Tamandua tetradactyla: one gene and its partner. The protein of the gene in region 1 purifies or fractionates together with the protein of each later gene. This does not show direct contact. Links are inferred from orthologs where the notes say so. Each region holds a gene or a part of one and is shown on either strand. Other genes may lie near its edges. The genes, in order: ARPC1B and ACTR3B.

The links.
Region 2: the proteins of ARPC1B (region 1) and ACTR3B purify together in Homo sapiens (affinity purification with mass spectrometry; 5 studies listed by BioGRID and IntAct, counting the BioPlex papers as one, with this or other methods). This does not show direct contact. The link is inferred for Tamandua tetradactyla from reciprocal best matches to the Homo sapiens genes ARPC1B and ACTR3B.

Annotation. Positions count from the first base shown.
Region 1 is NC_135349.1:7,397,734-7,412,549, forward strand, and holds the start of ARPC1B (actin-related protein 2/3 complex subunit 1B), read left to right. Parts: upstream 1-7,187; 5' UTR 7,188-7,265; exon of another isoform or gene 7,266-7,332; intron 7,333-12,983; 5' UTR 12,984-12,996; coding exon 12,997-13,060; intron 13,061-13,965; coding exon 13,966-14,070; intron 14,071-14,491; coding exon 14,492-14,714; intron 14,715-14,816. Other genes in the region: ARPC1A (actin-related protein 2/3 complex subunit 1A), read left to right, coding at 1,823-1,861. UniProt on the Homo sapiens protein: Component of the Arp2/3 complex, a multiprotein complex that mediates actin polymerization upon stimulation by nucleation-promoting factor (NPF).
Region 2 is NC_135327.1:197,436,369-197,451,993, forward strand, and holds the start of ACTR3B (actin-related protein 3B), read left to right. Parts: upstream 1-8,573; 5' UTR 8,574-8,746; coding exon 8,747-8,790; exon of another isoform or gene 8,791-8,958; intron 8,959-9,212; exon of another isoform or gene 9,213-9,235; intron 9,236-15,625. UniProt on the Homo sapiens protein: Plays a role in the organization of the actin cytoskeleton.

The DNA of each region.
Region 1 (14,816 bases):
TCTACCTTTCAGAACAAATCTTGTTTATATTAAAACACTTCCTGTGAGAAGATTGTGTCTCATTCCTTGAAACAAAATGTCATATCTGGTATACATCAGAAATATAGGCTGTTAGACTGTAGTTCTCTCTAAAACCTTGAAGTTATTAACAGGAAGAAGCCATATTTTCCCAGTGAGATAGGATATTTACTTCTAGATATTCGTTTATCCACTGAGGAAAAATTGAATGCTTTTCTTTTTTTTTTAAGCAGGCCCTATGATCAGTTGTGTTTAACTGTGTGGATATATTTTTACGGTTTGTACAAATTAATTTAATTAACATTAAGTCCTGGCAAAGTACCAGGCACTGAGGATAGTGAGGAAAGGAGTCTGAATTCTTACTTTGAGGACTTGTAGAAGAGGTAGGTGGTTACTGAGTGGGGTGTTAGGTACAGCCCCAGAAAAGAAAGCAGTGCCTTCACTCTGACATCGAGGAATCTGAGGGGATGCACAGACTGCCAGTGCAGCAGGGAAGAGGTTGCATCTCATGATGCAGTGGGGTTTGCTGGGTTACAGGCAGGGGTGGGGGGTCATGGAGAAAGCAGTGGTGAGCATTCTGAGCTGCAAGAGCAGAACACGCAGGGCCAGCCATAAAGTAAAACAGTGTGCACTGCATTCGGTGGTGAGGGTCCTATGGGACTAGAAAAAAAGATCTGTGGTATGGCCAGAAGGACACTGATCTATCTGCAGACAATAAGGAGCTATTGCAGCACTCAAGTAGGAAAGCGCCAGGTGTTGAGTGCCTGGGTTGAGCATTCTTAGGGTCTAGGTAGTAGCCTTTGAGTCCAGTAAACAAGTGATGAGAATGTGAGCTCCACCAGTGGCAGAGGGTATGGCCAGGAAGTTCTGGATTGGAAAGGATTTAGGCCAGATGGAATAGTGAGAGTGAGGGGCAAATCCAGAACTCTTATGCTCTCCAGCCTGGGGATTAGGCAGGTGGCAGGGCCTTTCAATGAGGTAGACTCAGGAAGAAGGAATAGAGTTAAAAGAGAAGATGACTCCTACATGTAGCTCTATTAATTTAATTTCTCCTGGATGAAAACCTTCAAAACAGGTAAATATTTACACAATTTTGCCACTACCTGTGCATTTATTTCTATGATGTTTGATTCCCCCCACCCCACCCCCGTCCCTGGGTCAAATACATAGTCTTATGCCTTATAAAGTCTCTTTCTTCCTTTTTAAAAATTTTTAAATTTTTATTTTATTTATTTATTCCCTTCTTTTTAGTGGTACATGCATTTTTACTGTTACATGTCCCAGGCATCTCAGCATCTCTGTAATTATCACCACCTGGGTAGTTAGAGCTGCATGTGATAGAAGAAATCTTTCTCACAAATCCCCGGCTCAGCCCTTTTTATTACTTTGATCCCTAAGGCCAGCCAAGTCCCTGAGGACTTACACTTATTTTCGCACTTATAGAAGCTAGGAAGTTCCAGTGTATTTTTCTCACTAATCAGTACACCTCTGCCCTTGCTGTGTGGCATACACCAGGCTGGCTGCGCTGTGGTCTGCAGACACAAGAGAGCTGGCCATTAGGCGTTCAGAGTGAGGCAAGGCAGGTGTAAGCACTAATCAGACGGGCCCTGTGAGCTGGGGTAGTGGGGACAAGGGAGCACACAGGCCCAAAGGGCCACCAGGGAAAGCCTAGTCCAGGAGGGTCTCTGCAGGCCTGAGAGTGGGTGCCAGGGGGGCACTGCAGCCCAAGGAAGAGTGGTTGGTAGGACAGTGCTGTGGGGAAAGTGCCTCAATAATTATCCGTGTTCTTTCTGCCTTCTTGAAGACTTTAGAGTCTTCTATCCAGGGCCTTCGAATAATGTGAAGCTGAGTGAACCTCCAGGATCTAGCATGACAGACTGCGACTGACAATAGCTCTGCCGTTTGCATGATGGGGAGGAAAGCCAGCCGCCGAGAAACACTGAGAACATAGTGTTCAAATATCATTTGTGTGTTTGTTTGAATATAATTGATGAACGTGTTGGTTTTTTAAAAGAAGCAGTAGCTTTTTTTTTTTTGCTGTTTTCATTCCATTCTTGACCAAAGCTTCTCTTTAATCAATTTATTATGGAAAATTGTTACACTAACTTAAAGAAAGGGGTGGGGAGGTATGTAAATTGTCTGCTAGAAATTAAAATAAAATAATAAATGTATTTTTGGTTTGTTTCCTTATACTATTTCCATTCTTTTATAGAAAAAAATATGGGTAAATGATCTGTAAACTTAATTATTGGGGAAGTAAACTACAGTTGATCCTCAGTATTTGTGGATTCCATATTTGCAAATTCACCTACTTGCTACAGCTTATCTGTAACCCCCCAAATCAATATTTGCAGCACTTTTGCAGTCATTAGCAGACAAGGGCATAGCAGAAACAAAATGGAATCTCTGGACACAGACATTTCCAATTGAGGTTGAACAAGGTGATGCTCTGCCTTCTTGTTTCAGTTCTCTTACTGTGTAAACAAGTGTCCATTTCCTTCATATGTCGAGTGCCGTGCTTTTCTTGGTTTTGTGATTTTTGTTGGTGATTTCATGTTTAAAATGGCCCCCAAGCATAATGCTGAAATGCTATCCAGTGTTCCTGGGCTCAAGGAGGCTCTGACATGTCTTGTGGAGAAAATACATGTGTTAGATAAGCTTTTTTCAGGCATTAGTTATAGCACTATTGGCCTTGAGTTCAATGTTAATGAATCAACAATATATATTAAATAAGGTGTTTTTAAAAGAAACACATAGAACAAGGGTATGCATTGATTGATGAAAATATTGCCACCAAAGGCTTGTAGAACCTAACCCTGTATTTCCCTAGGAACAGTGGTTCAGTATTCACTAATTCAGTGTTCTCGGTGACTTTATAGAACATAACTACCACAAATAACAAGAATCAATGGTATGTATTTTCTGTATAGTGGCAGAATAGCTTAGATTCTTAGTTTCATAAAATGCAATGTCCCATGCAACCTACAGGAATCATTTATTGAGAAAAGAACCATTTATTGAATGCTATTTTTCTGCAAAGTAGCTGTACTATTCCCATTTTGCATCCAAGGCAACAAGGAATCCCACTGCCACTAAGCAGCCTATTCTGTGAGATCCAGAGGTATCTGCCCCATGCCGCAGCAGGGGCAGCCTCTGTGATGGTGCCCCCACAAGGGCCTGCTGCGAGGGAGTATGCATCGGGACAGAAGGGAAAAGGTGTCATTGTTGATAGAGATTATTGTGCCCAAGCCCAGTTATTTTCATCATTCTGAGAGGTTAAGTTTAACATCCCAAGGCCAAGAATCTTTAGGGGTACAAACCAAGCATATGTAAATGAATAGCAAAATAAATGAGAATGGTCTTGTTAGTGACCTCACTGACAGGGAAACTGGAACTAGTCCATACACCCCTGCCTTTAGAGACCGATAGCAGTATCTAAGGGATATGATATTTTCAGAAGACTAGTTTTAGCTTTTTGTCGATTCATAGAAAACCTGACTGCCCTCCAGGAGAGAAGCCATTTGCCTGGGAGGCTGGCCTGGTGCACCCACCTCTCCCTGTTTGCAGTTGTGCTCTCTGGACACTCAACGGCAGGGGTTTGTTGTGACTAGTGTTTGTACCACGGCATCAGCAAGGCTGTCACCAGAGAAAAGCAGCCACTGAAGGTGAGCTAGCTAAGAATTTCTTTTTAGTTTCATTAAATCACACTGTTTGGCGTGTAAGCCCAGAGATTTTTAGAGAAACAATGGATTCCATGAAAGAAAAACAAGAGCAATAGCAAAAAAAAATTTTACTTTCAGTCAAGAACTTATTAGTCACATATATATATACTTTTTTTTTTTTTTTTTTTTGATGGGGGTTGCATTTCTCACTCTTGTAAGAAGGCCCATCCTTGTTACAACAGCTGGAAATCTGTTCTTTACCGCAGTGCCGGGGTCATGAGATTACAGCAGCTCCCTCCTGCTCTCACCCTACCTTTGAGACTCAGATCAGGTCTGAGTCCACAAGGACACCAATGCGGTAGTTCTAGGTGGCTGCTGCCTGCCAGGACATGTTGACCAAACCCTTTGATGTGACGCTTTGGTGTCATATTACAGTTCTGCCAAGCTGTGTGACCTTGAGCAACATCTCTGAGCTTCCGTGTCCTCATCTCTGAAATGGGGATGGTACATGATAAGTGTTACATATTGGGTACCCAGTAAAACAGGGTTTGCTTTCAGGCTTGGTACTAGCCCTTTAGTAGATGGCTGGAGACCCTTCATAATCATAAAATGGAGTAGAGAGGGAAGAGGTGGATAAAGGATTTTGCAAACCAAAAACATCCAACTGTTTTTTCTAGAATATCCTGCTGAGAAAACAAGCCTGCCTCTAAACCCTGGTCAATTGTTTAGGCATGAGTCTTCAGTTTGGCTCAGCAGTTGTCATACAAGTGCCCGAGCTCCTCGGTGTGCCCAGATCTGGATGCAAAGATGTGAAGGCCCAAGGTGTCTGCAGTCTGGCTGAGGAGAGAAAAACTACCCTGTGGGGAACAGTCAGGACAGAGCAGCATATAATTTATATACGGGGTCAAATGTTAAAATGTGTGTGTGTGTGTATATAATTTAAATAATAGGTGTGGTAGGCAGAATAACAGAACTCCAAAAATGCCCATGTCCTAGTCCCCAGTCCCTGTGAAGAGGTTACCTTCCATGGCAAAAGGGACTTTGCAGGTGCAGTTAAATGAAGGACCATGAGATAGGGAGATTAGGCTGGATTATCCAGGTGAGCCAGTGTTATCACCTGGACCCAGTCCTGGCCAATGAGATGAGTGGGGAGAATGCTGGGGGCTCCTGGGGATGGTTTTCCTCCTTGTCTCCCTCTGCCTTGGCCAGCCCACAGCCTTCCTGCAATTGCCCTGCCTGAAGCCTGGCCATCATCTTGTGACCAGGAGGCAAAAGGCCAACACAGTGAGGAGAAGGAAGGAGCAGAAAGACAGAACTGTGATGGCCTGGAGACACTGCACCAGTTCTGCACTACCTTCCTCCAAGTCAGTCAGCCCTGAGGAGTCTTGGCCCGGCTGGCTGTGAATGCACTTCCTAGAAACCCGAGAAGGTGGAAAAGAACACGGAGGGTGGCACCTTCATCCCAGGGCACCATGGGAAGTGGATTCCAGGAAGAAACAGAAAGCACTCCAAGTCATTCTCGGAACTGCAGATGAAACTTCCATGCCCAAGCTGCCCTCACCCAAGGCATTGCTTCTTTTAAAATTTACAAAACTTTGTCCCCTGAGGGAACCATCTCAAATAATGCCTCCATCTCTTCCCAGTTTAAGATTTGCTTTCCCATCCTTTGGATCTTCCCACTATAACTGCAATTACCTTCACTGTAAGCTGTGGAAACCGAGGTGGTACAAAAAGTGTGACTTGCCTGAGGTTACACCACTAGTTAAGTGACAAGAGTCAGAACTGGATTCAGTCACTCATTCCACAGATACTATCAGTGCCGTCTGTAGCCCGGGCCCTGCAATACAAACTTGGCCTCTACTCTCAGGGAGCTGATGAGTCTGCTTTTCCTCCAATCATACCACCTCAGTTCAGTTTTTACCATTATTAGTGACAGGGATTCCTTGGGTGTGTGCATTTGTTAGGATACTTTTGGTAATGGGTAACAGAAAAACTCAAACCAGCTTAAGATAAAGGACATTCCCTGGTGCACATGGCCGAAGGCTCCAGGGGCAAGTTGGGCTTTGGGCCGGTCAGCCAGATTGACCAGGACTCCGGTCAGGGACGACCCTTATCAGAACCACGTTTCTCTCCCCTCTGCATGTTTCCTGGTCGGCTGCAGCCCAGATCTGGCTTCCCCTCGCGGCTAGAATCACCCAAAGGGGCTTCTCTTCTCTTGATCATCATCAAAAGTCTTGGGCTTGGCTTTGGGCCATCTTAGGTCACAAAGACAGTTCAGCATACTCTGGGCTGGTTGGGTTAGAGATGGGGGTCCATTCCCCCAGGGTGTCAGTCATGGGGGAGGGATAGAGTGGAAGTCAGGTGGCAATCGTGCCACCTATGAGTTCAATTGCACTTGTCCCAACAGGAGGGGGTGCCAGGACAAACCATTGGAAACTGCTCTGGTTTAACTAAAACCGTGACCTGGATTTGCTGAGGCTGCTGGGACCTGTTTGAACCAACCTACAGGAACAGCAAGACAGGGGAGCCCGGGCAGCAGCGCCTCAGCGTCCCCCAGGGGGTCATGCTCACAAGTTCACTGGGCACAAACACCTCAGTTAAAGTTCACTGGGCACAAACTGTGCTCCCTGGGTGAGGGGCTCCACAAGTTGACCCATCTCATCCTCCCAACCTCAGCCGGTGGCTGGCAGGCGTGTGGTTAGGATGGGAGCTGGGTTTGGGGACACAGGGCCCCTCAAGTGGGGGTGGGGGCGACATGGGAAAGGTATTCTTCAGCCACATCCTGCAGGACAGACCAAAGTTGGCCAGGTGAGGAAAGGGTGGGAAAAGTGCTCCAGGCAGAAAGAACAGCCTGGGCTGAAGCAGGGAGACCCGGGAGGGTTGGGGGAGTGGCCCCAGGCCCCTGGAGCTCCATGGGGAGCCAGCCCCCCTTCGGCAGCTGCCTCTTGCTCTGTGGCTAACCTTGGGTGAGATGAATCCTAGGGAGAGGGGCCTGCTAAGGTAGAGGGGGCAGGTCTCCACCTGCCCAGCCACCCGGCCACATCTCCATTGACAAACCCAAAGGCCCCTAGGGACCACCTGGTCCTGCACCCACATTCAGGGGCCTCAGGCAGACTGCCGGGGAATGGAAGGTCAAGAAGTTAGCCTTAAAGAAACCCTGCTGCCCCAGCCAGTGAGCGGGGAGCGCCTGCGCGGGAGGGGGTGTGCACCCGGGTTTGCTGTGAGGACACTGAGGGCCCACTGCTTGGCCACACCCGCCCTGCCCACCCCACCCCGCCCCGCTGCGACTCAGACCCGCACCCTCCCTTCGAGCCTCAGTTTCCCCACCCAGAAAGCAGTGAGGGGTGGTCACGGACGAGACGACATCTGGGCGCTTGGGCTCCGACGTGCCAGGACGGTGCGGGGGGCCTGGGAAACGCACGCCCGGATGGGGTGGGCGGGCCCTCGGAGCTCAAGGCCGCCGCCCGCCCGGTCCCCGCCCCGGGTCCCCGCCCCCCGCCCACGAGGAAGTGGCTGCGGCGCCGAGCGGGGCCAGAGCGGTTCGGCGCGTCGACTGCCCAGAGTCCGCGGCCGGGGCGCCCCGAGGTGAGGGGCGCGGCGGCTTCCGGGAGCTGAGGGGGCGCGGGGGGGCGTCACGAGAGGCCGCCCCGAGGTGAGGGGGCGCGGGGAGGGCGCGGCGGGCTTCCGGGAGGCCAGGGGTGTCAGGAGGGCGGGGGCCGCCTGGAGACGAGGCGGGGCGCTGTCTGGAGGTGAAGAGGGTCTCGGGGACCGCCGGGAGAGGAGGGGGCGAGGGGAGTGCGGGCGGCGGGGCCGGGTCACCGCTCCGGGCCGAGGGACACGTAGGGTCCCCGCGCCCCGGGCGCCGTCGGGGCGGTCGGGGCCGGCAGTCCTGACCCCGCGCGCCGTCCTCCGGCCTCGGCCCCCTCCCCCGGCCCCGCGTCACCCCGACTCTGCCCCGCGGGCCGCCTCCCCCCCGTTATTTGGGGTCGGGAGGGCCCCACGCCCAGCCACTTCCCCTCCGTCCTCGGAGCCTTCCGGGTTGCTCCAACCGGGAAATGAGCTGGCGCCCCACTCCCCGTCCCCCCCACCCCGTCGGCAGCACATCCAGTCCGTGGAGCCGCGGGTCCCGCCGCGGGGGGGGGGGGGGGAAGGCGGGCGCCGGGGGTCTCGAAACTGGCTCATGCGAGCTGCGGGCCCCGGCCCGAGCGGCCCCGCCCGTCCCCGCGCAGGGCCCGCAGCGATTCCAGCCCCGGTTCGGGCAGCGGCAGGGCCGGGCTGGCCCCGAGGGCGGTGATTGCGACGCTCCGCTCGCCCGCGGAACGCAGCCTAGGCGCTGAACCGCGACCCCCTGGGTTCATTCCCGGCCGCCCCCCAGGCGCCTTCTGCCCGGCAGGCAGTGAGCCGGGGGCCCAGAGCAACTTTGAGGTCTCCCGCCTTCCTTCACGGACCTTGTGTGACCTTGGCTAGCGCCTCACCTATAGTTCTGAGCCTCAACTTTGCTCATCTGGAAAATGGGCATCTTTCAGTTTGCAAGGCTGAAGTGGGATGATGTGTGTAAACGGCTTAGCAGTGTCTCAGACGCAAAGTAAATATGTGTGCTGTTACCTGTAGCTATTTTAAAAGGCCGGCCCACGTTTAGTCAAGGCATCTCCCCGTGGGAACCTGACCTCTGAGATTTGGGGTTAGAGTTCCAGCTGTGCAGTTTGGGAGCTGTGTGTTCTTGAGTCAATAATTGCTTTTGTCTGAACCTCAGTTTCCTACTGTACAAATGAAGGTTTAAAACAAAACAACTTCTTAGGCTTGCTTGGGGTTGGGGGGGAGGTTGTGGTGGTAAAAGTATGCATGTGAAAGTCTTGGGTAAACTATGAATTTCTTGACAAAATACCAGTGAAGTTAGTTTAGTAACAGTTAAATAGCATTTCAACATGTCAGTGTCACAATTTACTTTTTCCATATTTGTAATCATCTGGATTTCTCCACCTTGTCCCCATTATAAATAGCATTGTTATGAACATGACTGCTTTTAGAAAAAATAAAATAATCTTAGGGGCTGTTTTACTTGTGTCAAAAATGGATTTATGCAGCCAGAGAGTGTTAACAGTTTTTAAGTTTCTATTAATGTAACTTAGCTCTGTTTGTATTACCCAAGTGTTGAATTAAATGTTATCACTCTGCCTTTCAGAAAGACTGAACCAATTAGCAACAAGTGAGAATTTCTCCACAGCTTTGTCAGCATTGAGTTTTATGTGTTTTTTTAATTATTATTTTTTTTGGTCTTGTTTGGATTACTTTAACTGTCGCTTTATGGTATCTTATGATTGTTTTAATTTGTGTTTCTTGATGTTACTGTGCCGGGTATGTAGGACTTCAAGTGCAGAGTTGGGGAGGAGAGGTTGGCTGATCTTGCGTGGTGGGGGCTCCTACCCACAACAGGAAGCCATGCAAAATGGCTCCTGGCAGCTCCCTCAGCAGCTGGGTGGGGACTTCCATGAGAGCCCAGATCCTGCTCCAGGCAGTTCCTGCTTGGTTTAGCCTCAAATAATGCTGCAATTTAGCCTCTGGACTCAGAGAAACCTGGCAGAGCCAGACAAAAAAAAGTACCTAAAGCCTGTGCCTCTTCTGGGGAAGCACTGGCCTGGGGCACTCAGCCGGTATGGAGAGAGGCAGAAATTGAATCCAATGCTGTAAGGAAGAAGAGCGCCGAGGCTGAGGTCCTGAACAGAATCCTCCAAGCCACATAGGTGAAAGTGGCCTGGCTCGCTTTGGAGAGGACACTGTATTCTCTCCACTCTGAAGTCAGAAGACCCACTAAGACTAGGTTTACAGGTTTCTCTGATCATTAGCTCCAATCTGGAAAAAATGTGAGCACATAACTCCCTGATGAATATTTATAAGTTGCATACATGTGACCCTGAACGAACACAGCATGTTCTATGTAGGACAACCCCCAAGACAGATGTGAAGAAAAGGATGTGATTTACTCATCCCACCACATTTAGTAAATATTTATCGAGTACCCAGCACTCTAATTGGTGTCGGGGACATATCAGTGAACAAAACAGATAAATATCCCTGTGCTTCTGGCAATTATGTTCAATGATACAAATTTTTCTTGACAAAAAGGGACTTAAAATTTTTTTCCACACCCTGGGGCATGGTCTTGGGCACCTCCCTTGATGGAAACGGCACCCCACTTTGGAGACCATGGATCCAGAAATTCAAAACCCCTTCCAGCTCCCCTGCAGGGAATTGAGAAGGATAGTGACTATTAAGGGGCCCAACCTCAGGCCTCCTGCTCCAGCGCTCACCCCCAAAACTATCCACCACTCCAGGCATCCCCCCCTGGGGCCTGGGTGACCACACTCCATCTGTGCTGAGCACCTACTGTGTGCTGGACATGGGGTGCAGAGAGGTCCTGGTTCCAGGCTAGGGGGAGCCCGCTTGGAGCCAGCTGCCCTGGGGAGCCTGTAAAGGGTTTGGCCTGCATTCTCCCAGCCCCACTCTGATTTGGGGGTGACGGACTGGGGATGCACAGAGCAGAAGCCTCCTAATCCCAACGCCATCCCAGCCCCCCTCCCCGCTTTTCCTCAACAGTCAAGTGGGCCCACGGGGCTGGCTTGCAGGGCTGCAGTGACATCTGGGTGGGTGTCCCAGAGGCCACGGCCTCAGTCTGCCTTGGTCCCCGGCAGGAAGCATCGCTGCAGGGTTCTGCTTATCAGTCTACTTGGGCTAGACAGCCCGCATGCCCTTTTTCTTTTTGCATCAGGGCAGTAGCCCACCCCCAACCCCCACCCCTGCTTTTCCTGTGATTGAGTAAATCAGAGGTCTCTCAGGGTTGAAAGAGCCAAATAGGTCTAATCACCTGGAGCGAGCTGATAGTCCCTGAGCCAGGAGTTGGAAGTCCTGGCTACTCCTGGGCCTACCTACAGGTGGGGATGGCCTGGAAAGGCTGCTTCCCTCTCTGCCCCCACCCCCACCCCCAGCTTCCTCTTTGTAATCTGTGGGGGTTGGGAGCTATCACTGAGGCCCTGCTTTGCAGAAGTTGCCCTACAAGGGAAATGAGTCTTCTCTCCCCACCCCTTCACCTCTCCCCGCTGCTCCCTTTAAGATGTTGTTTCAGTGGGCCTCGAAGTAGTTCTCTCTGAATTCACACTGAAGTGTGATTGGCTGATAGGTTTGGGTTGCGAGCCTTCCTCCCCACTGTCACACTATGTGTGGCCGTCCTTACCAGCCCCTTCCCTCTCCCGCTTGAGAACCTTTGGGACCTGGGAAGCAGTGGTAAGGGCGTTCTGGTCCTCTCAGCTGTCCTGACGCATTGGCATACGGGAGGTACTGGGGTGAAGAAGTCCCCCCAAAATTCATGTTCACTGGGAATCTCACAATGTGTCTTATTTGGAAATAAGGTTTTTACAGATGTAATTAGTAGGGGATCTCAAGATGTCCTTGCAGACCTTGCCTCTGTGCCCTCACAGCTGGGACAGGCTTTTACTGCCACCATGTCCAGTCACTCAAGACCCCACCATGGGCAGAGACGTGCCTGGATGCACAGCGTGTGGGGGACAGTTGGCACTGGGAAGTCAGGATCTACTGACCAGCCAGGGTCCCGAGTTTGGGCTGCGGGGCTCCCCAGGCTGCAGCCGCAGGGCTCCTTTCTTCCGGGCCACCTGGGTCCTGGGACGGGGAGGGGAGTAGTTGGAGTCCAGGTGCCCCCACATCCTGGCTGACTTTGGGAGCGGGCTTCTGGCGTTAGCCCTGCCCCATCCGTGACCTTGGAAATGAGCGTGGGCCATGGGCATTTGCTGTCTTTCTTAGCCAGTGCTGAGCACCCAGGCGTGCCTTGTTTCAAGGGGAACGTGCAGTCCTTGCCCCGCGCGTGCACACACATCTGGGGGCAAGGGGTGGCCTGTGGCACCCTGGGACCTTGCCAGGACTTCCTGCTGTAAAGCAAACCAGGTGATTTGCAGCTGGGGCAGCTGGATGGTCAGGGGAGGCCCTGCCGAGGTGGCCTTTGAGCAAAGACTTGAAGGACAGCAGCGAGGGAGAGAGCTGGGTGGGTATCTCGGGGCACAGCGCCACTGGCTGGTGCGAAGCTGGAGACAGGGGCGCACCTGTTTGACAGGCTGGGGATGTGGCTTCCTGTGCAGATGGAAGCTTCCGCTTCCTGAACAGCCACTGTGGACCAGGAGTTGCGTGGCATGAAATTTAGTCCTCTCAGTGACCCTGGCAGGGTAGGAGGGTCGGGATCCCTGCCTCCATTTTGCAGATGGGGAAATGGAGGCTCGGAGGCATGGAGGCCATCCCTGGGGTCACACGGCTGGCAGCCAGCACCGCTGGGCTCCAGGTCTGGGTGACTCGGAAGCCTGCAGGGAGAAGCTGTGTTGGGGAGGCAGTCAGAGAATTGATGCTTACGTTGGGGTCTTATGGAGGAAGAGGGGTTTGCTGAGTGGTGCAGGGAAGGGCACTCGGGGAGGGGGAACAGCGTGCAGAGACTAGACGGGTGAGACAGGGACAGAGTTGGCCTTGAAGGAGAGTCAGGCCGGGAGAGGTCGCAGCCCTCCAGGTGGAGGGGACAGCACATGTGAAGGCCAGGAGGCCTGGCTCGGCCAGCTCCATGCATAGAGTTGTGCAGTGCTACAGCGGGGCCTTAGATAGCCAGGGAAGGGGGGTAACCTGAGGCAGGGCGAGCTAGGTGGAAGAGGCTGTCTGGGAGCTGGGGGGAGGCCAGGGCGCAGCTGGCAGGGGCTGTGCTTGGGGGAACTGGGTGTGGCTGGGCCCCGGCTGGAGGTGGGAGGCCAGGTCGGGGGCTGCCCTCAATACTGGGCTGCGGCTGCAGCCCTCCTCCTCCAGGCTCCCCCATGTCCAGGCCACCAGGGTCTCCCTGGAGACCCCTCACCTCCCCCAACACACACACCCCTACAGGTCGGGTCCCTCCCCTGGTCCCAGGTGCAGTGCCCCCCCCCCGCCCCCAACAGGCCCTTGCACACTGACCCTTTCCCCACCCCCCTCCCCAGTCTCAGCAGGCGTGGGGGGGCCAGCTCACTCTGTGGTGTATGGGATCGTTTCATTTCATCCTTTCTCTCTATCGGGGCGGAGATGGCTTGGGGTCCCCCACACCCCACCCTCAGTGGCATCTTTGCCTGCAGCAACCCCACCCAACCCATTGTCCCCAGGAGCCCCAGGGGAGAGTGACTGTTTTAGGAGAGGGAAACTGAGGCCCCGGAGGCCCAGGCTAGGCACTTAGGGACTTCGGGCTGCGGCCGGGGCTGGTCAGACCTGGAGTCCCTCCCTGTCTTTTGGGCGCAGGGAGCAAGTGAACATGGCCTACCACAGCTTCCTGGTGGAGCCCATCAGCTGCCATGCCTGGAACAAGGACCGCACACGTGAGTGTCCATGGCTGGCCTGACGGGGGGCGGGTGCCAATGTCCCAGAAGCAGCGGCCCCTGTCCGCCCCCCACTCCGGTACACACAGGCAGTTAAGGCAGCAGGCCTGGGCGGGCGCTGCACTGCCGTCCCTTTCTCACCCTGTTCGGCCTGGGGGGGTGGGGGGTGCTCCTGGGGCGCGAAGGCAGGAGGACTGGAGCAGCACCCGGGAGGAGCAGCTGTCCACATGGCGTCGGCACAAGTCGGCCCAGCCAGGGGAGCAGGCAGTGCTTGTGCTAGAGCAAGTCCTGGGGACCAGGGCCCTGCATCCATGCTGGCATTCAGGGAGCCCCGAACTCCCAGGAAAGTGGGGTTGGGGTGGTGGAAATGAAAATGTAAACATGCAAGGCTGAGCAGGCAAAAAACTTCACAGGGGAAGGGTTAGGGTGAGGTGCTGCTTCAGAGAAGGTGCCCAGGAAAAGCCTTTTGGAGGAGGTGACAGGAGCCCCAGAGGAGGCGAGGAAGAGAGCTGTGCGCGAGCTGTGGGGGCAGCACAGAGGCCCTGAGATGGGGTGCCCTGGCATGGCTGGGAGCAATGGGAGAGCAGGAGCTTGGGGAGCAGGGTGTGGAGGCGGGGGGCATGCGGAGCAGCATGGGGAGAGAGGGGAGGACAGCTGTGGGGAGCACTCCAGGGGTCAGGAAACTGCTGTGGGGGGGTCCGAGGATGAAAGGTGGCCAGCCCCGGGGGTGGATGTCAGAAGACGGGGAGTGCTTCAGGGGACCCCTCTGCAGCGGAGGGGGCGGCTCCGGGTTGTGAGGGCTGAGGAGGTGCCCAGGTATGCTGCAGGAGAGCGGTCCCAGTAGAGGGGGCGCACCTGGGCACACGCTCCTCCCCTCTCTCCCATGCCCCCCCAATCTCCCACAGAGATTGCCATCTGCCCCAACAACCACGAGGTGCACATCTACGAGAAGAGTGGGACCAAGTGGGTCAAGGTGCACGAGCTCAAGGAGCACAATGGACAGGTGACAGGTGGGCCAGGCTGCCTGGCAGGGGGCACAGGGGCTGGGGCTACCCCACCCACTCACTCACTGGATTAGGTGGGGGCGTTTGGATTGCCGGCATCCCAGCCCCGATTGAAACCAGTCTAAATGATAAAGGGAATATGTTGGCCTGTGTTATAGAAAAACTCAGGATTTTGGCCTTCAGGATAGTCTTGATCCAGCAGCTCAGCATTACCAGGAACCCAATTCTCTTCTGTCTGTTGGCTTTGCCTTCCAGCATGTTCAGCGATAGGTTAGGAAAGCTTCAGCGCCCTTCACAGGCTCTATTAGCACCCCTAGAATCACCCCCATACAAATCTAAGCACAAAGCACGTCCTGCCTGGTAAATGGAGAGCTACCACAGGCTGGGTGGCTTCAGCCTGGCGCCTCCCCTTCCCCTTCACCCCCAGGCATCGACTGGGCCCCCGAGAGCAACCGCATCGTGACCTGCGGCACAGACCGCAACGCCTACGTGTGGACCCTAAAGGGCCACGCATGGAAGCCCACGCTCGTCATCCTGCGGATCAACCGGGCCGCCCGCTGTGTGCGCTGGGCCCCCCACGAGAACAAGTTCGCCGTGGGTAGCGGCTCCCGTGTCATCTCCATCTGCTACTTCGAGCAGGAGAATGACTGGTGGGTGCCAGGGAGGGACCCAGGGCTGGCCCAACCCAGGACCACAGACCAAGGTGGGGAGCCCCCATCCCCTGCCCGCACAACTTGGGGACGTCCCTCCTC
Region 2 (15,625 bases), on another chromosome or scaffold:
GGGCAGGATCCCTGTCTTTGTGCCACTGATTAGCCTTCATTTCTCACATGTTGGCCAGGAAAATAATCAAGGTGATGATCCTTGACTTTTACTGCTGGAAGACCAGGCAATAGGGGTAGCAACATAATTTATGGCATATAGTGCAAAATGGAAATGTGGGGCTCCCTGTTAAAATTTTTTTTAAAGAATTTCAAAATGGCTACAACAGATTGTTTTAAACAGAACTTGGAGTCCATCTAAGTGCAGATGCCTTTGCTTCTACACAGTTTACATGCCCATGAAGCTGGCCCTGCCATACACCATAGTCCTGCCCAGTGACTTGGGATTGAAGCGGAATAGGTAAGGCAGGAAAGAGGTCATAGTAAAAGAAGAGGAAGAAGAAGATAACTTCTAGTATAACTATCTGAGGCTCATATTTATATTAATCACCTGTAAGAGGTGCATTGTTTTCATTCGAAAGAATCTGTTTTTAGTCTGATTTCAGACAGTAAGCATTCTGATCCCTTGATTATTTTCAGAATAACTTCTCAGGGCCTTCTGTAGTTCTAGTTATTTATCATTATGTATAGGGGAGGATAATATTTTTTGGTTTCTATAATGCAAAACTGAGTCAGGAGAATAGCTGGAGAGGTGTAAGGAGGAAAAAAAAAAAGAAGTTTTGCTTTGGTGATGTTTGACTAATGATTACACTTTCCAAGACTGGCAAGCGAAAATTTGATTGGCATCAATTCTACTAGTTAACTGAGTTCTGAACAGTTGTATATTGGGCTGTGATAATGGATGTCTTTGCATCAGCAAGAGGGTTCACGTTTATTAAACCTCAGGGTATTGACACCTGTGGTGGGTCCATGGTAACCAGAATCCATCTCTATGAAACTGAAGGCTTAACAATTTAAAAGTATCAAACTGTATCGATGGTAACACCTGAGTGGTAAAGTAACTGTATCATAACAGCATATATTTTATATTTATATATGAATTATGAGATAAAAAATATTTGCAATCTCTTATTTGCCCACTAAAGAGAATTCTGAGAAGCATTTCAACTGAAACAAGTTTGAGTTATAACTGTAAAACTCCATTTCCTTCTTGGGAACAAAACCTACAGATTAGAGGACAGGAGTGGGCAGAAACGAAGAAACTTAAGAGCAGGAAGGATATGGTTTGAAAGGGCAGAGAAATAATTCTCTTACTGATAAGAGAAAAAGACTAGACACTGAAAGTGGAAAGGCATGTATGTGGGATGAATTTGAGTTTTGGGTGGGCAGGCTGAGAACGAGAGATGGTGAAAGGGTTTTTTTTTTGAGGTTTGCTGGATTGCTTACCCCATTCACCCCTCTTTGGTGTTTTCTTGAAATATTGCAGTGATGATATAGAGTACTTTAACTTATTTTAAATGTCTGTCCATTGCTTCTTTGAATGAAACTGGTTTCAACATAAGCACAAATGAGCCCACAGCCTTTTGCTTGTTGCAAGTGCAAAACAATGAACAGCTTACATGGGTACTAATTATTTCTAAATTGAGCTTATTTGTTTTTAAGACAGTAATGAGGTAATCAGCTTGGAATGACTGGAAAATTTTTCAGTGGTATTTTTTCTATATTTCAATGGGTTAAAAATTGAGAACTAATGAGGCCACCCTGGAATATTTGATTCTCATATATTAATAATTATAAAATAATAATGATAACAGAAACAAGAATAATAGCTATTATTTATTGAATATTTGCCATGTGTCAGGCACATAAATGATCTCTTCTTTTTTTTTTACACTAGCCCTATGAAGTAGGCACTATTATTCCTTGTATTCTTCCAAGAAGGAATCTGAGGCACAGAGAGTTTAAGTCACTTGTCCAAGGTCATACACATACCTAAAGATCAGAGCTGAAATTCAAATCTAGGTAGTTTGGCTTGAGAGCCTACATTTTAAAATTTTATCAATTTTGAATATTTAACTGTGAATGATAAAAGCTGTTATTCTGTCACCTTAGCACGATGACAAGTATGTCTCCTTGGTCACAAGGAAGACCTGGTTAGAGTACATGAATGGTTCAATCCAACTCTTCTCCACTAATGGAAAATGTCTTATATCTTACGTAATACTGAGGGCAGGTCTATTTTAACCCTGTTTTATACCTTAGTTATTATCACAGTAGCCAGAATAAAGCTGTGTGATTTTAGCCCACATTTTAGTACACATCTAAAATGAAGAGAATTATTTAGGAAAGCAGCAGCTACACAAACAGGGCAGTAATGATGTTAAACTTCCCATTTTAGAGAGTCTAGTATTTTTATAGACTAATATGAAAACTCAAAAAAAAAACCCTTCTTTACAGACAAAGACACTAAACTCTTTCCTACAGACAAGGAAACTAAAGCTCAGAGATGTTAAATAACTCATCAGAAACATATCTAAGTTTCTGATTGGGGATTTGGATACAAGTCTGAAAGACTCTAAGACATGTGATCTTTGCAAGCCTCCATAAAAAAGTAAAATTAATTTTACTCATTTTTTTCCATATAAATTAACATAGTTAAAAATGTTTGGGGTGGGCCAGGATGACTCAGCAGGCAAAGTTCTCGCCTGCCATGCCGGAGACCCGGGTTCGATTCCCAGTGCCTGGACAGGCCAAAAAAATAAAAAATTGCTTCAAGAAAACAGTACGATTTTCTCTTCAACTGATAGCTTTTTGTTTTTCACTCTTGGAACACAGTGGCTATATGCTTTTCTGCATACTACTTTTGCTTAGAATTCATCTTGCACCTTGATAAGTTAAAGCAAGCATAAGAAATAGTAAAAAAAGACATGGAAACATATCGTAATTTCCCCCCTGATTTTCAAGTACATATTGTTGAAATTGAGTTTCAATTGGATGAAAAGAGAAATTTAGCAGACATGGCCCCATGTATTGCCTTCCTACCTGTTACTGCACACGTATCCATTCTGCTTATTACCACCTCTTTTTCCAAACACATTTGGCTCAAAAAAAAAAAAAAAACCAAATAAATATCTGGTGTAGATAGTCTGCATGTCACAATTTTGCTTCATTCATTCCATTATAACTACACCAGATGCCTGCTGTGCTGCTTCTAAAAATGTTCTAGAATGAAAATTAATAAGGAGAGGAGAGGCCCCTGGGAAGCCAAATCCTTCAAAACCTGTTGCTTGTGTGATTGCACAATGGCAAGAAACATTTGGATTTAGCTTTTGGCAGTATGCTCTGTCCAGATTGCTTGGAGTTCAATTACACTACTCAGCAGTTTCATTTTCTATTGGCAAAAGAATTTGATTTTTTATTGGATACTACTCAGTTGGTAGAATATATAGTGATTGCCTGATGTTAGTTCATGGTTATTTGTTACTGGATTTAGAAAACATTCAAGGTAAAGCGCTGAAAAGTAGAAAAGTATGTTTGAAATTGTGAAAGTCTGAAGGACTGATTACTGAGATCCTTTCTGGCTCTACCATATATTATACCTGTGCTGGTTTGGTATCACTTTAGCATTTTCCTATTTTCTCAAGATCAAATGAATTACAATTAAATTTTAATCTATTCTAATTTGATCTTCAGTTTCTTATTTGATTAGCAGAAGTATGATAATATCTACCTCATGAGATTGTTGTGAAGATTAAATGTGATGATGTACTGAAAATGCTCTGAAAACTAAGTTATACTGTAATTCAAATTCTCCATTTGAACTGGATAGGAATACTGTTTGCTAGAACAGGGGAATTTACTAAAATGCACTCAGTCTATTTTGTTGAATGAATAAATGAAGTGAATTTGAATTGAAATTGGAAGGATGAATGAGTCTTGGAGGATAAAGATGAGGTAGCTGAAGGAGAATGTCGAAGACTGAGAGGACTGCATGATGACCTGACGATGCAGAAGGTTTGAAGAACAGTGTCTGTGGTCTGCTGTGCCCTGATGTGTCAAGGGGCATAATGTGAGATGAAATTAGAAAGGTTAACTTAGGAGCAGATCATAGGGAACCTTAAGACCCACCATAAGAGTTTGGGCCAAATTCCATAAATAATAGGGAGTCATTGAAGGTTTGGGGGAAAGAAGAATGACATGATATATAAACTTTCTATATTTTGTAATGATACCTTTTACAGCAGTGTAATTTGTCCAAAAGGTGTATTGAGTAGGCAAAAGCCTGGAGACAGGGTGGCTGGAGCAGGGGTGTGGGGAGGTTTTGAATAGTTCAGCAAGAACGACAGTAGGCATGAGAAGCAGGGTATGGACACAAGGGAGGTGGTGAGGTTGAATGAACAGGACTTGGAAGCTGACTGGTGTAGGAGAAGAGTGAGAAGGAGGAATTGAGGATGAACTTTCTAGTCTGAGTAATTTTTATTAATGGAGACAGAAACACAGCAGAGTTGATCTGAATATGTTTAGTGTTGACGGGATTTCCTTAACTGTTTTGTGTTTTTTTGGTCTGTTGTCAATTCTTTGATACACTCCAGCCCATCAACTTTAGTTTGGATCATTTTTTTCTCACAGTTGCCAACACATCAGGGAGGTCCATTGAGCTCAGTGACAGGCCCTTCCTCTTAAAGGAGAATGCCAACTACTTGAAAGGAATGGAGTACTAATTTTTTGGTACTCTTTTCTCTTTGAATTTTCATGGCAACAGAGAACACACAGAGTGCTCCTTCTTACAGCTCTGAGATTTAAGACTCACGGAGTTGCTGGGTGGGCACTTTTTAAAGAAAGCCTTTAGTTTTGTGTTCTTTTTTTACTTCTTGGCCCAGCACAACCAGTTAAATGCAGGAAATGAAGATCTCATTGCCTGAGTTTTCATTGACTAAATTCCTTTGGATAGCCAATGTCTAAGCCCTGCTTATTTTGTTTTTAAAATTGTCTTCATATGCATAACCAGCATCAAAAAGTGTTCATTGAAGTTCATTTGAGAATGGTACTGGGATGTTATAGCACCCAGGATTGTAGTCATGAAATAGTTATACCATCTGCCATGGAGGGGATGCTAAATTCTATCCAGGAAGTGTTATGGTATCCATGTTTCTGCCTGTTGGGATGGGGCTGAGTAGGTCACTTTTGGGTAGAAACACAATCAAGAGATTGACTCTCCTGTGAAATAGAGCTGATTAAACCTTCCCTTCTATTACAAGCAGAGCACAGGGAGATAGGCTGAGCCACACAGAGTAAAGAAAAATATTCTGGACTAACAGGCATTTGGTAGCAGGCATTTTGCAGTGTATATTAGAGTGAGCAAACCTCATTTGCAATATAACTAATAAAAATTGTACTTGAAGTATCTCTTGCAGGATGTAAGGTTTATCTCTGTGGGTATTGTACACTAGGCACTATAAAAAGTGATGCAATAGCCTCTGATCTATAGGAGTTCACAATCATTCATTGACTGGTTACAAGGTCCCAGATGATGTCCTGTGAACTAGAAATATAAAAATATATAAAACATAATCCTACTCTAAGGGAGCTCCCTGTCTACTGGGGATTATAGTCCTGCAACAAATTACAATGCCATCAAATAAACACTAAAGTGAAAGTATGTATGATGCTTTCTGTGAGCACAGAGGAGAGGGATTAGATTTATGAAGTAAAGGTGTGCTTCATAGAGATGGTAAAGCTAGAGCTGGGTCAGCAAGGATGAGCAGGTTAAGTAACAATTTCAAGCAAAGGCAAGATTATGTAAAAAAGGCATAGGGAAGTGAGAATATATGGCTTAATTAAGAAAATTATGGGTGATGCAGAAACTATTTCGTTGTCTGCACAATGAACATTTGCCTCTTGCTGACCAAATTCAGCATCAGTCAGGCACCAGCTGCCATATGCTTCAAAGGACAGGACATCCCTCTCCAGCCTAAGGGGTTTGTTTTCAAAAGTTTGCCATTCACAGTACAACAGTATCCCTTGCCAATAACTGTTTTTTTTTTTTGCATAGGCTGGTTGATGAAACAAGCAGGGAAGCTGCCGGGGACTCCTGGAAAAGTCTTTCTTCCCTCTTTGAAAGATAATCAAGATGGGGAATTTCTTTTTCCTTTCTTTGTCTGTTTTAGTGCATGCAGCTGCTGTAGCCATCTTGCAATTGCAAGGGATGGGCCTGAGGACAAAGGCCAACACACAAGAGGTTGGTAGAACAGAATGTATAGGTCCACAATGATGTCATTGAATTGGTGGAGTTCTCTTAGAGTTACTGGATTTCCTATTACATGAGATAATAAAATTTCCTCATTGCTTATGCCACTTTTAACGAGGTTTTCTCTTACTGTGTATGAAAACATCTTAACTGATACCTTGAGGGTTAGTGGTATCTAGAGGAAATCATTGAAGTTAGAGTCTCTGATTTATTTCCTGTCAGCTGCTGACCATGGCCACCATTCCCAATAAATTCTATGCAAAATCCCTGTAAAGGAAAACTTTTTATTACCAGCCAGTTCCAAATTCCCTCAAAGGCGTATTTCCTGGTGAATGGACAATTGTTTGGGTTACCCAGGCTGCTCAAAGCAGATATCATGAAATGGGTTGGCTTTAAACAATGGGAATTTATTGGCTTACAGTTTGAGGCTGTGAGAATGTCTAAATAAAGGTGATGCTTTCTGCCTGAAGACCAATTGCTGGTGATTCTTGACTCCTCTTCCATGTGGCAAGGCACATGGTGGTATCTTCTGGTCTCTCCCTTCCCTTATAGGTTCTTTGCTTCCAGCTTCTTGTTTCCAAGGCTTTTCTCCTCTCTCTCTCTCTCTCTTTCTCTCTCTCTCTCTCTGTATTCATTTCAATTATAACGGACTCCAGTAATAGGATTAAGACCCATCCTGAATTAGGTGATTCACATCTTAACTGAAGAAGCCTCATCAAATGGTCTTATTTATAATGGGTTTACATCCACGGGAATGGATTACATATAAGAACATGTTTTTCTGGGGTACATGTAGCTTCAAACCACCACAAACATACATGAGCCTTGAGGTCCTTCTTGTTTTGTGCAGATTGTTTCCCATCCTAAAACACTCTCTCATTCTCCTCTGTCTAGTTACCCTCTATTCATCCTCTGGGTTTCAGCTTAGATACTATTGCTCTGAGAAGTCCTCACTAGCTGACAAGTCAGAGTTGGGTGCCCCTCTAGTGGCTTTCCAAGCCTTTTGGACTTGCCCTATCTTAGCACTTAATGAACTGTATTGCAATTGCCTCTTAACTGCCATTATCTCCCATAGAAACCGATGTCTTGGGAGCACAGACTGTGAGAATCCTGCTTACTGTTGCAAGCCCAGTGTTTAATATAGTTTCTGCCTTACAGTAAACACTTAATATATATTAAGTGACTGAAAGAAAATAAAAGACATCATGGTGCCAAGCCAACAGTCTGCAGTCCTAGAGTATATCTATGGCATTTTGGCTAGTGCCATGAAAAGTGGGAGCTGGGTAGGCATTGGCAAAACTCAAAGTAAGCAAGTTAGTGTTTTGCCCATATGGATTATACTTGGGATCCTATATTGGTATTCTTCTACACTGCTGCCCTTTCACTTTCCTCACATTTTCTATTTCTCTCTCCAGTTCCCCTGAAAATTTTCTAGGTCTGGGGCTTATTTGACCCTTTTAAGTAATATGGGAACAATAATGATTTATCCAAGAGTGATCAACTAATCTATTACTTCTCTTAGGAAAAAAACACAGTGCTTTAAATACCAGTTAAAACCACATAAAAATTACATGTCTCCAAAAGTTCATAAAAAATTTTCAAGAATTTATGATAGGGTAGAGAGCAGGAAGCAAGTTGGACTTCCAGTATCCTCATAACATAGTAGGCAGGTGTTTGCTTACTCTGATCCATGATTTCAGTAAGAATTTTTGGATGATAATTTTATCTTTGATACCTGAAAATATGGCATAATATTAACTAACCCTAAGATAATCTCTTAAGGCTGGCTATGCATATGCCTTGCAGATTTTTCTTTTCTAGAGGAAATTAGTGTTCTGCTAGGTATAATAACTAACAGTCGTCTCACCTGCCATGCTGGAGACCCGGGTTAGATTCCCGGTGACTGCCCATGCAAAAAAAAAAAGGAAAACTAATAGTAAATTTCTTCAGGGTGAAAATTATTCATTCATTCAACATTTGGGTGCTTCCTATATATGTGCCAGATACCATGCTAAGCACAGGGTAACCTGTGGTGAATAAGACAGACATGAGCCCTGTCCTAGTAGAGCTAACAGATCAGTGGGAGACAGACTACTAATAAGTAGAAAAAGTTTGCTCTAAGTGCATGAATGAAAGCAATTCATTGCTGAGACAGAATCAGGTGTGGGGTGGAAACCTAATTAGGTTCCCTGAGAAGGTGACATTTGAAGTGGAACTTAAAGGATGAGAAGAAGCCAGGTCTCGGAAATGGGGTCACCTTCACCATAAATCAGTCAAATATAAATACCAATCTCTTCGGCCACAAGGGTACCATCCACAACGTATAAGCACAGAAACCTCATACCAGCACTAAAGATGGCGAGAGAGGGGAGGGGGGCATCCTTGCGCCGTGATTGGCTAGGACAGAGGGAGGAGCGTCACGTGGCTCTGCCGCGGAGCATCCGGGCTCCCGAGAGCGGTGCTGCCTCTGGCTACCCGAGCCGCGGGAGAGGCGGCCCCGTGGGCGGGGGCGAGGCAGTGGGACCCACGCGTATAAGGCCGGCCGCCGCGATCGTAGCGGGGGTGTTCCTGGGCCGCTCGTCTAGGCCGAGCGGTGCACGCCGCGCCCGGCCTTCCGAGCATGGCGAGTTACCTGCCTCCTTGCGTGGTGGACTGTGGCACCGGGTAAGAGCCTTGCCATCTCCATCCCCTCAGTCCGCTGGACACCCTCATCCCTGTTCCTCCCGCTTGCTCTGGTCTTCCAGTTCCACAGGCGTTGAGCAGTTCCTTGTGGCCTCCCTCGCGGACCCTGCAGCCTGAGGTATCCCGCCTTCTCCCCTGGAGGTAGAGGTAGCTGAGCCCTGGACTCCCGGCCTCAAGCCGTCTACCCACCTGTGCGGATAAAGGCGGCGGCATCTCCACCCTGCACATCTCCTACCCCTTTCCTTAAATATTTCGCCTTTAGATTTTAAAATTCTCTTTTAACTACCAGTAAAGGTGTATCTTCCGGGGCGCGCAAAAAGGTCACTCACCTTGAGGAAAGGGAAAGAATGGAGAGGGAGTGACGGGCCCCATATAAATCTGTTTTGATTCTCTTCGTGTCCTACATCCTCTTAAGTGCTGGGCCGAGGTGGGTACCCCGAACTTCCAGCCGCAGTATCGCTGAGTAGGACCCTCTTAGCATCTCACCCTTGCCTTGAAAGCCAGTTTATTTAGGTGCTTTCAACCTTCTGTTCCTGCCATCCAGTATTCTTAAGTGGCGCTTATTCAGTGCCCACATCAATTGTGTTTTATTTCTCTTTGCTGATGATTTACCACCTAGTTACGGAGATGTTTATATAGTCCTATCGACTTGATACCCTTTTTACTGCCTTCTTTTCTTTTCCAGTATTAAATGGCTCACTCAGGAGATTAATTCTTGTTAAGTGCTTGCTTTAGTTTGAATAGACATGCCCTTTAGCTTAAAAATGATGTGGGTTAAAAGACTCCATTTTGAAAAACGGAAAGGTTAAATTTGGGGAAGCTTGTTTGTGAATTAGGTTTTTATTTTTTTTTTTTTACCTTTTTTGTGATTGCTTCTTTTACTGTTATTAAGATATACAAAGAAGACCTTAGGTAATTTCTTGTACTTTGAATGGCCCAAGCTTCCCTGATTTTAGAGAGGTGATTGCTGAATCCACAATGCTGGTAGTTTGGAAATTCAAGCTTGCCTGCTTACATTATGGATAAAGTTCTTAATAAAATTGCCTGGAATTAAATTTACTTGCTTGAAGATTTGTCAAGAAGAGATTTTAATAATCGTTGCCACAAAGTATTCCATGGCCTGTTCACCTTAACCTTGATTCTTTTTAGTAGAAAAATACGCTTGATTTTGGTTTCCTTGACAACCTAGTGTGGGTGTCATCTTCAATTTGTTACAGTCCCTCTCCTTGTGATTTTTCTTTCTTTCTTTTTCTTTTGCCATTGAAACTACTGCTAGTGATTATAAGCTGGAGAAACTGCCTCTTTGCTAACGCTAATTCTTCTTTTTGAAATATACATTGTGCCAGACTTTTGGTGGCTCATTATTTCAGAAGTTATTTTACTGCTCAAAACATGAGCTAAAATCAGTATTGATGTTAACCCCAGGGAGAAATTCTTGGCTCCCTTATCCATCTTCTCCTCTCCACCCCAGACTCTCTCCAGTTTCAGCGTTCACCTCACACCCCTACTTTATTTAGGTCTAGTTGTATCAAGACTGAAAGCAACAGGTAAAAATATTTTTTCATTTCCACATTTTCATGTGAGAACTTTTGCTTTCATATGTTTGGGTCTTGTAAAACTAATAGAAATATCAAGCATTTCTTAATGGTAGCAAGTAAAATGATATCCACAGAGTTTGTCATACCTTTACTATGAGTGAGCTGGAGATCTTACTTGTCATTCTTGCTATAAATATGTAAAATGTTGTGTGAATTTTTGACCTTTTGAGGTAAATGCTGAATGTAGCTTTGTGGATTCTGAGATACAACTTTAGTTATCATTGTTTTATGGTCCAAAGTCATGCTGTTGTCTTCAGGCTCCTCAACTTAGAAGTGCTGGCAGGGCTTCCTCTCAAAGGGTTTCACATGGACATATTCTGTCATGGAAACTTCTGTAATTCATCATGAGCTCCCATTGTCCAGAGTATGGCTAGAAGAGTCTAAATTTATCCTCTTAAGCATGTTGGTAATCCTTATATTTTCTAAAGAGCTGAAATTGTTTCACAATTGAGTTTTACCTCAAAATAGGATAAAAATGATAAAACATAGCCAAAAATAACCAGGTTCAAGGAAAAGAATGGGCTTGGGGAGTCATCTTAAACTTAGGCTAGTGCTTCCTGTAATTGGGCCTCTGATTTGGCCTTAGTCTTCATGACAAAGTTATGAGAGTTATGTGAGTTCGTAATTCCTGTTATCAGGAAGGAAGAGAAACACCTGTTTCTCAGGTGAAAACAGTTCTTTCTAGTATGAAATTCTAAAAGAAAAAAATTCACCTTGAACTATACTTAGTGGACACTGATGATTTATGATCCTAACCAGGACCATAGCAAATAGATTGCATTCTGGTGGCCTCACATCCGTTAATAAATCAGGGACCAACTAAGTGAGGAAAAGTGGGCTGTGGACCAAGACGGTAGTATGGACCAGGGGAGATCTGCTTGATCCAAAGTTAAAGCTTCGTCTGTTTAAAGGAATAGAGAAAATATTTCACAAATACCAGTCTCAGTCTCTTAGCTGATTTTTGAAAATGATTTTTTAATTGAGATGTATATTCACATACCATATAATTATCTAAAGTATATAATCAGTGGTTCATAGTATTATCATATAGCTGTGCATTCGTCATCACAATTGATTTTTGAACATTTTCATTACTCCAAAAAAGAAAAAAAGAATAAAAATAAAAGTAAAATGAACACCCAAAACATCTGATCCTTTGATCTAACATTCTCTGTTAGAAGAATGATGGGTTTTGTGTACTTCCTCAGGATGATGAATACTATTATTTCTTTAGCCTTTTGACAAAGGAAGCCTTCCTGAGGAAGAAGGAGTCCTAGGAGGATAAGTGGCCCTATCCAGTGTCTCCCTCTTCCTTTATTTTGACCACCATGCCTCCTCTTTATCCTTTATTTTGACCACCATGCCTCCTCTTTATCCTTTATTTTGACCCCCATGCCTCCTCTTTACCTGTGTCCCTTCAAACTTCTAATGTGAAGCTCCTCTGTTACAGCATAGACGGGATGAGCTATTATAAATGTACATAGGAGAAATAATCCAAAAAAAGAAATGGGAAAAAAATTTGACTAAGTACATCATAAGAGGAAATAGTATAAATGTTAGCCAATTTTTTAATCAAGATTTTTGTACTTTTTAACTTCTTATTTTGAAATAACTTCAAATCTACTTAGAAGTTGTAAGAGTGCTGCCCCCGCCCCCCCAAAATGTGATAACAGGTTTGCTACCTGTTAATAGTTTGCCACATTTGCTTTTTATTCTCTGTGTGTATCTACACATGTTGTTATATTTTTCCAGACCTGTTTGAGAGTAAATTGCAGATGTCATGCCCTTTTACATGGAAATATTTCAGTGTACTCTTTGTGAGAGCAAGGCTATTCTTTTATATAACCACAGAATAAGTATCAAAATCAGAAGATTTGATGTTTATATAGCAGCAACCCCCCCACCCCCCAGCCCCCCAAGCAAGGCCATTTGTGGTGAAATGGCATTTGATTGTCATTGTGTGTTTTAAGTCTCATTTAACCTGGAACATTTCTTAGCCTTGTTGATTTTCAAGACTGACATTTTTGACAGCCAGTTATGGTGAATGTCCCTCAATTTAGTCTTGTCTGATGCTTCTGTATATTTAGATTCAGTTTATGGGTTTCTGTCAGGAAAACCACAGAAATGATGTTTAGTGCATCCCATCAGGAGGTCTGAGATACCCCTTAACTCACTGTTGATGAAGTTGACTTGTATTTTTTGGATAAGGTGATATCCATTAGGTTTCTCTATTGTATAGTTAATGTTTTTCCCTTTATAGTTAACCCATTTGTGGGTGGATATTTTGAAGTTATATAAATTCCCCATCCATCAAACTTTGACCTGTTAGTTTTACTGTCCACTGGTGATTCTTGCTTGAATTGATTGTTACAATGATGACTGCAAACTAGAGATTTTCTAACTCTAGTGTTCTGTGTTTGCATTTATTAGGTAGCATTTTACTATAAGGAAGAGTTTTCTATCTCCTATATTTATTTATTTATTGTTTTTATAGATTGTTATTTTACTCAAAGACTTGTAACCCATTGTGTCATTTTTATTATATGCAATGGATTATTATCTATTATTGCCAGTACTTGTTTTTTTATGCATTTTTGAGATACATTCACATACCATATAATCATCCAGAATGTACATTCAGTAGCGCTCAGTATCATCATATAGTTGTGCATTCATCATCATAGTCGATTTTTGAACATTTTCATTACTCCAAAAGCAATAAAAATAAGAATAAAAATAAAAATAAAAAAGAGCACCCAAAACATCCCATCTCTCCCTATTATTTACTTATTTATTGTCTTTATTTTCATACTCATCTGTCCATACACTGGATAAATGGAGTTTCAGTCACAAGGTTTTCACAATCACATAATCACACAGTAAAAGCTATATAGATACAGTCATCTTCAAGAATCAAGGCTGCTGGAACACAGTTCAACAGTTTCAGGTATTTTCTTCTAGCTGTTCTAATACACCAAAAACTGAAAAGGAACATTTACATAAAGCATAAGAATAACCTCAGAATGACTTCTCTACTCCATTTGAAATCTCTCAGCAACTGAAACTTTATTTTGTTTCATTTTTCTTTCCCCTTTTGGTCAAAAAGTCTTTCTCAATCCCATAATGCCAGGTCCTGGCTCATCCCTGGAGTCATGTCCCATGTTGTCAGGGAGATTTACACCCCTGGGAGTCATGTCCCATGTGGGGAAGGGCAGTGAGCTCACCTGCAGAGTTGGCTAAGAGAGAAGCCACATGTGAGCAACAAAAGAGGTTCTCTGGGGATGAGTCCTAGGTATAATTATAAATAGGCTTAGCTTCTTTGCAGGAATAAGTTTCATAAGGGCAAGCCCCAAGATTGAGGACTTGGCCTATTAAATTGGTGGTCCCCAATGCTTGTAAGAATATCAGGAATTCCCCAGTGGGAAAGTTTAATATTTTCACATTTCTCAAGGGGACTTTGCAAGTACTTTTTTATCTTCTGCCCAGATTACTCTGGGCTGTATCGGTTATCACGCTGACCTGTGCAAACCAACAAAATCTCACTCCCTATTCAAGGTTCCAAGTACTTATGGTGTTTGAATAAATTGACTGTACAAGTTATATTAGATAGTGTGCTAAAGAAAATATAAATTCTGCACCAGGTAAACATCTCTTCTTTTGGTCTTGTAAAGAAGTTGAAGTTTGAAAATACAGTCATTATCATTCTGTATGATGTATTTTGATTTACCTTAGTCGTATCCAGTTTGGCTTCATTCATCTCTCTAATTGAAGTCTCATCTTTTTTCAGCTTTTTAAATAGTTGCTGAATAGGGTAAAGCTGACTTTCCTAGCTGCAGAATGCTAGCTCTGAGACTCAGGTTTCACATACATACTCAAAGTTCCAGGGGATGACTGGTTTATACACAAAAAAACTCAGCATCTCAGAATTTAAAAATAAGTTACAACTCTGGAATAGATATGACTGTGTAAGAGTTTACAGTCTAGGAATCTTTATAATAAGCCTTCCCCTGATAACCTATGCTCTCAAATTCAATTCTCAGGGTCTGCGCATATAGTTTAGTCCTTATTAGTGAGGCATTATAATGTTTGTCTTTTCATTTCTGGCTTATTTCACTCAACATTCTGTTGTCAAGGTTCATTCACCCATTTGCTTGCCTCACAACTTCCTTTCTTCTTGCAGCTGCTCAATATTCCATTGTATGTATACACTATAGTTCACTCTTCCATTCATCATTTGATGTACTCTTACTTAGGCCACCTCCATCCATTGCAAATTGTGAATACTGCCACCATAAGCGCCAATGTGCAGATAATCCATTCGTTTCCCTGCTTTCAGTTCTTCGAAGTATATACCTAATAAAAGGGTTGCAGAATTATATGGCAACCTTATACTTAGCCTCCTATGGAACCACCACATTGCCCTCCAGAGGGGCTGTACCATTCTACTTACCTACCATTAGTGAATAGGTACATCTCCTCCACATTTTCTGTAGCACTTGCATCTTTCTTTTTTTTTTTTTTTCAAACAGTTTTATTCACACACCATGCAGTCCATCCTAAGCAAACAATTAGTGGTTGCTGGTATAATCACATAGTTATACGTTTGCTATATGAGAACATTTCCATTTTTTCTGCAAAGAAAAAGAGGGAAAAAAAAGGATTATGAAAAAAAAAAATGAAAGGAGAAACACCACCACCACCAAGAATCCCATAGCCCTCCCTTAAATCCCCCTTATTGACATTTAGCTTTGGTGTATTGCTTTTGTTATATTTAAGGGGAGCTTATTACGATGTTACTTTTAGCTGTAGGCCCTAGTTTGCACTGATTGTATTTTTTCTGTATACCATCCATTTTCAACACCTTGCACTGTTGTTTGCTCTCTCTTATGTAAAATCATCATTATATTTGTACATTTAATCACCATCATTGTTCACTCTAGGCTTCTCTAAGTTATATGGTCCCAGTCTTTCCTTCTGGTGTCATACATGCCCCTAGTCTTCCTCTTTCAAGCATACTCAAACTCAGCTTTGTTCAGTGTATTTACAGTATTGTGCTAGCATCAGATAGTATTGAACTATCCATTTTTGGATCTTTACAATCAATCCAGTTAAACATTCTATACTCCTCCAACATTAAATGCCCAATCTCTACCTACCTTCTATTTCCTGATAAACTGCATTCTCAATTTTAACTCTCAAAGTTCACTCATTAATGTTAT